Schizosaccharomyces pombe: one gene and its partner. Changing the gene in region 1 together with any one later gene gives a genetic interaction. Each region holds a gene or a part of one and is shown on either strand. Other genes may lie near its edges.

Region 1 (3,759 bases):
ATAAAGGAATAAATAGTGACTGAATCAATCACTGCTTTCTAGTTCTCTGACTTTGAGACCTTTTTCTCATTCAATTCGGCTAATAACTTTTCCGCAGTACTAGGCTCTTTCACACGAATCAAATACATTTCAATTGATTTTCCATCAGTAGAAGCAGCAGGTACTTTTACGTCCTTTTTACCAGCCAGGCTGTATTCAAAATCCTGGCACAAACGAACGTTTAACAAAAGTTTTCCACTTCCCTCGACACGCGCAAGGATGCGAGCAGAGCCAGTGTCACGATCTACGTTAATTTTTAATGGACCAATCCCGATATCAGAATAAGATTTACTAGTAGCATCGAAACGGTATATCTTGGCCCTTGTCTCAAATACGCTGTCTTCATTTTCTTCGCCTTTTCCTTTACCAGAAACTAGAGAATCATTCGATCGAGTTTCATCATTTCCGTTTTCCTTTTCTTCTTGCTCTGATTTGTTTCCATTAGAAGTTTCTTCACTTTTTTCAGCGCCAACAGAAGCTGGAGTAGAAGAAGTAGGAAAAGAAGATTTCGGAGCAGCAAAAGAGAACGGATTAGTAGTAGTTCCAAATGAAAAGCCGACAGCCGCAGCGCTAGGAGGCTTCACATCCGAAGAGGCCGGTAACTTTTTGCTCGATAATGGATTGGTAAATGTAAATTTTTTCTCAGGTGTGTCAAATTTGATAGGCTTATCAGGAGTCCAAGAAAAACTCATAGTATTTCCCTTGGCAGGTTCAACGGCGTTCTCGGATTTTTCATTGTTCGAGGGTTTAGATTCTTCGCTCTTTGAATCTTTAGTTTCATGGGTTTGTTTGGTCTCTTTTGAAGCATCCGCAGAAGCCATAGTCGTTGAGAAAGAAAACACGGGAGTTAATGGTTTTGATTCCTCATTTTCCTTCTTAGCGAAAGCGAAAGGATTAGCGGCAGTATTGAATGAAAACTGGTTGGTTGTGGTAGCGGCAGTACCAGTGGCAGTTTGATTAGAAGATGTTTCTTTCTCCTTCGCTTCCGCTTCTGTTGCGGACTTCTCACCAAATGACCCTTTAGGAGTAAAAGCCGATGAATTAAACTGGAAAGAGCTACCAAGCGCTGGAGCAGAAAATCCGAACCTAGGAGCACCGGGGGGAACAAGGGGCTTCTCCTTATCCTCTTTTTCTGAAGAAGCTGGTTTTTCTGTAACAAAAGAAGAAGAATCTTGGCTTTTTTGTTGCTGAGGATTTACCTCAGACACAACAGCATTTGAAGTTGGTTGTTCTAAGAAAACGTTAGAAAGAAATGAAGTACTAACTATAAACGCATTACCTTCTGCTGGCTTTTTTTCTATACTTGAAAAATGCTGCCTGTATTCATCAAACAGAGGGCTCAAATTACCAAAGGGATTATTGTCAACACTTTTGATAACAGCGTCAATAAATGATTTATTAAGACCGCGTTTTTTCAAGTGAATATCTGAATCATTATTAGCTGTAACCGCGGGTTTTCCAAATGTAAATTGCGTAGTCGATGCAGGTAAAGACACCGGTTTTGCTGCCAAATTTGCAAAAATTCCCGGAGAAGAAACACCGCTCGTTGGTCTTTTTCTAGATTTTGGCTTTGCAATTCTAATACATTAGTACCTAAAAAATTGAAGAACTATGTTTCATCGTTACATACTTTCTTGTGGCCATCACGTCTGCGGAGGCCTCCTTAGGAACTTCAACTGGACCATGACGGTCATCATCAGAATCATCTTGATCCTTAGTTAACTGATGATCAGCACCGCGTTTTGACATTTTGCTAGTTTGCGAAGGTCAACTGTTAGCCCCAAAACCACCCAAACTTATGGCCTTCACTATGTCTCCTTATTTACTAATGTTACAGTAAAATAAAATAATACAAAAAATGAATTGTCGCTTGATTTTAATTAAGTATTACAAAAATAAATGACTATGGTACAAAAATTATCATAATAAAGAGCGTTCAGCTTTTTTCTTAGCGTTTCAGTTGGGCCAAAACAGATTCGCATCTGTCACATAATCCGTCCTCATGAGCTGTATGCATCCAGCAACGTAGACATTTTTGTTGATTTGAAAAAAATAAAGAGATATTTGCAACCCCATAATCCAACTGAACTTCAGGTTGTGTAACGGAAGCTAATTTCAGATTTTCGGGAATTTCGTTAATAAATACCTTCGATGTATTGAACAGAAAAGGAAGGTCGGAAGAGTAATTTTTTAAAAAACTCAATAAAGATTGAGATTTTGACTTAATAACGACATAAGCTTCTAATGAGTTTTTAATAGTTAGATTTTCACGAGCTGCGGTAATCAACAAATTAATACTATACTTAAGTTGTTGAAGAACCAAGTATTCCTTAATTAAAAATTTTCTATCAAGTAAATCAACTTTTGACCTTAAGCTGCTTATAAGATGTGTTTCTCCAGCGTGAAAAGGAGTTTGGTAAGAAGAATTCAAATAACTATCGGGTAAGCTTTGCCAAATCTCCTGTGCCAAAAGTGGAGTAATGGGAGAAATGGCCCAAATGAGCGTAAGTAATGAATGATAAAGGACAGTTTGAACACTTCTCCTAGATACACTGTTGGGTAAATCAGCGTACAGACGATCCTTTACGGCGTCAAAGTATGTAGAGGATAAGAAAGAGTTCATAAAATAATTGAGATGATGAACAACTTTGTTAATTGAATATGATTCATAAAGTTCTCGAATTTCAGTCTGAAATTTATCTAGTTGGACTAAAGCCAACTTATCAATACCACGTAATTCACCAACATCAACTGAGCTCGAGGTATTCCAGTCATGTAAGTTCCCAAGACAAAATCGGGATGTTAATCTCCACTTTTTTAAGGATTCACCAACTTGCGTCAAAATGTTCGGTCCCAGGTTAGTATCATTCGTACTGTCACATGATGCAACCCAAAGTCTCAGTAAATCAACACCATATGGAAGCTTTTTTCCTTTTAAAAGCTTTCCGTTTATTACATCTTCAGGGTCGGTTACATTGCCCAAAGACTTGGATTGTTTCTGACCTCTTTCATCAAAGATAAATCCGTGCGTAAACAAAGTAGAAAACGGTGCTTCTGGTTTTGATTGGTAGGCAGTGTATGTGAGAAGAAGTGACTGAAACCATCCCCTGTGTTGATCGCTTCCTTCCAAGCAAAGGTCAATGAGCGGTTTATTCTTACGAGGTGCTATTGTAGTCCAACTAGTCCCAGAATCAAACCATACATCAAGTGTTTCAGTGCCACGAATATACTCCTTATTTCTGTAATCCGGATGAACCCACTGAGCATGCCCATTGTTTTCAGTATCATTAAACCAAGAATCAACTCCCTCTACTTCCATTTTCTCAATGATATAGGATACACTTTTCACAGTTAGTAGGGGGATTTTAGTTCCTTTCTCATACAATACAGGAATGGGTAAACCCCATGCCCGTTGGCGAGAAATGCACCATTCAGGACGGCCATTCAAAAAACCAAGAAGTCTGGCGCGCGAATTTGGAGGAATCATTTTTACACTATCAAGTGCTTTTATGGCAGTTTTCCTTTCATTCTCCAATGATATAAACCATTGAGGGGTCGCCCGTAAAATTAATGGCTTATGTGTTCGCCAATCGTAAGGGTAGCGGTGCTTATAAGGAGAGACCTTAACAATCATATTTTGATTTTTCATAATACTTATTACTTTCTTTCCTCCATCACCAAGAACTTCCAATCCTTCAAGGCTTCCATCCAAAGCTTCTT
Region 2 (3,016 bases), on another chromosome or scaffold:
CTACTTCTGCAGCATAACCAAATACGATCTTCTAAATTTGCAGCTGTATAAGGAAGATGTTCCGATTATAAACTTTTTTCCTTCTTGGACCTTTTTGCAGGTGCTTTCAAGTTTTTTTTTGAATTTTGGCTAAGAAGCAAACGAAAGATTTTGAAGACTATGCTTTCGCAACTTTATGAACGCAGTAAATTCTGCTTATGAATGGTGCATACAACGGTTTATGGACTTGCATATTTATTTTATTCTGGCATTAATTGCATTTTGCTTTACCAGTTGGAGATTGAATCGAAGTTTTATATAAGATACCAACTAATAATGCGTGTACAAAAAGAGACAACAGACGCATTTACATTACAATTAGCATCTAAAGAAGTGATAACATCAAGCATATATAATACATTTAATAATACTAATGAGCATATGTATCTTCAACCCATATGTAACCGAATCTTCCTTATGACAAGCATTATTGATATTGCAAGTTTTAAGGCACAAGTATTGTTTCTAAATATCTTTATGATCAAATAATAATTAGCTTATTTGTAATAGCTTGTCTTCGATCATTTTTTGTAACTATTGCTACAAATATTATTCATCGAAACAAACTAATTTACCAATTTACCACCTAGCAAATTACCCAAATCTTTAAATCGTAAAAATTTTAAGGAAAATTAAATCGCCATCAAAATATTAACAATATGGTATAAAGACTTTTTTAAACATGAACTATCAGAAAAATGCAAAAGTCCTTTGATGTAGCGGCCAAAGCTTTTTAGTTTAAATGCATGATAGTACAATCATCAGTACATCTTTAACTCAGAATTCAGGAGAAACAAATATTGTACCTCATATACTAACAAAATGATAGTATGATACTTTTATTATAATCGGATTAAACGAAATTAGCACTCAGCAACTTCATTTGATTTACGTGGAGAACTTTTGGCCTGTTGCATAGCCAAGGCAAAAATACGACTGGAATTTGCATTTTCATTTAATAATCTTTGATTCCAATGTGAGCCTGACTGCTGTATTAGTGGTATATCTTCGTTGCGAATTACAGAGCCGATGGACATGAAAAAGCCAAAAGTGGCCGCAGATGTTAACATGTATTGACCTAAGGTCCTTAAGAATCCACGTGGACCAGGCCCATAGCGCAAAACTGCTACTCCTCCAAATAAAAACCCGATGCCAAGTCCAGCAGCTGAACCCATAATGGCGCCCATTTTTACTGTTCAGTGTTAATGACTGAATTCATACAATATAGAACTTACGCTTATCCACAGTTGAAGGTTGCATAGATTGCATTTTGAGTAGTTAAAGGTCTTACTTTTATTTAGAAATAGAGAGCACTAGTTTCAAGGGGGATTTTGTTGGTAGGAAAAGTAAGGTAGTATACAGTTATTATATTGGATACCTAGGTATAACAATAGATGTAACAATTTCTTTTGTTAAATCAATAGTTTAGTTTAGGAAATGTTAATTTAAAGAAAACCTATATATATATTTTTTATAAGCCCAGTTTTTTTAAGTAAATGTAACAATGTATTACATCCAGGCATGCGTTAAGTGAGAGCATAGGCTTAACGTTATAATGACTTCTGAATTAAAATAAAACATTGCATTGGCATGTATTGCAATTGCTAAAGTCTGCTATGTATATCTGACATATATAATAAATTAATTCCCCTCGGCTTCGGATTGAATTTCCTACCTTTTGTTATTAAGAAGCCTATCGCTAATTAATTACTAACATGTCCTTAGCGAAATTTAATTGAGTTGCATTCTTAGTTACATCTACAAATGGCAAAGTTCTAATGAGGGAGTGTTGTCATTCCTGCAGCAATTATTTTATTATTTAATAGACAAGTAGAACATAAAAGAACAAAAATGGATATATGTATATATATATATATATATATATGTCAAAAAACATTATTTTAAAGATAGCCTTCGTCAGACAATTGTGAAAGGACAGCAAAAGTAACCTCAGAAACAGAGTCTTTGGGCTTGATGTTTACGGTAGTCCACTCAGCAGGTACTTTAACAGATGCATCAGCATCAGCCAGAGAAACAACAACGGCAGCACCAGCACGTTGCAATTCTTGGGCGTAAAACACTGAAATAGCATCTAAGCGAGGTAAAAGAGTGACATGGCGGCGACCATCCTCGTTCAAGGCTGAAACTAGAGCGCTGGGGAGAAGTTTATCGGAGGTGGCAGGAACAGCCAAAACAAATCCTTGAGAGTATTTGGGAGGATAGGATTGACGTAAAATAGCGACAACCTCTGGATAAGAGAACCACTCAGGGATGTTGGCACCGACGCGAAGACGGCGACGAAGTTCAGTACCACTGATGTTCAAAGTACGGGTACCGGGTTCGACTTTGTCAACTGGCTTGTAGATGTCCTCATCAGGAAGGTAAGTCATCATTTGGAAAGGAACAATGGTGATACCGATTTCCTGAGCGTATTGTTCAACAAGGTACTGAGCATCGTAAGGACCATAAAAATCCTCGCCTTGACTGTTCTTACCAGGACCAGCATGATCACGACCAATGATGAAATGAGAAGCACCGTAGTTCTTACGAATGATGGCGTGCCATAAAGCTTCACGAGGACCAGCCATACGCATGGCTAAGGGAAGAAGAGAGAGCTTGGCGGAACCCTTAGGATAGCGTTGGAGAATAGCCTCGTAAACACGCACACGGGTGAAGTGATCGATATCACCAGGCTTGGTCATACCGACGACAGGGTGAATGAGCACACGGGCACCGTGTTGCTTAGCAGCACGGACGGTAAGCTCACGATGGGCGCGATGCATGGGATTACGGGTTTGGAAAGCAACGACGCGATTCCAGTTGTTACGCTGGAAGTCAGAGCGAAGTTGAGCAGGTGAGTAGCGGTACTCTACGAAATCGAAATGGCGAATAGGAGTAACGGCTTGAAGTTTACCACCAACATACACATTTCCAGCACGACCAAACAAGTAGTCGACGGCAGGGTGGGCGCGATCAT

The links. A genetic interaction does not mean that the proteins touch.
Region 2: mutations in nup61 (region 1) and mgr2 together harm fitness more than expected from each alone (negative genetic interaction), as found in Schizosaccharomyces pombe (one large-scale study listed by BioGRID).

What each region holds. Positions count from the first base shown.
Region 1 is NC_003421.2:731,434-735,192, forward strand, and holds the start of nup61 (nucleoporin Nup61), read right to left. Parts: upstream 1,809-3,759; 5' UTR 1,789-1,808; coding exon 1,670-1,788; exon of another isoform or gene 1,618-1,669; coding exon 1,319-1,617; exon of another isoform or gene 1,271-1,318; coding exon 39-1,270; 3' UTR 1-38. Other genes in the region: ism1 (isoleucine--tRNA (Ile) ligase), read right to left, coding at 1,988-3,759. UniProt on the Schizosaccharomyces pombe protein: Functions as a component of the nuclear pore complex (NPC).
Region 2 is NC_003423.3:1,569,545-1,572,560, forward strand, and holds mgr2 (protein Mgr2), read right to left. Parts: upstream 1,376-3,016; 5' UTR 1,309-1,375; coding exon 1,275-1,308; exon of another isoform or gene 1,232-1,274; coding exon 903-1,231; 3' UTR 660-902; downstream 1-659. Other genes in the region: septation protein Uds1, read left to right, coding at 1-17; SPOM_SPBC27.05 (uncharacterized protein), read left to right, coding at 202-528; sua1 (sulfate adenylyltransferase), read right to left, coding at 1,941-3,016. UniProt on the Schizosaccharomyces pombe protein: Required for cell viability in cells lacking mitochondrial DNA.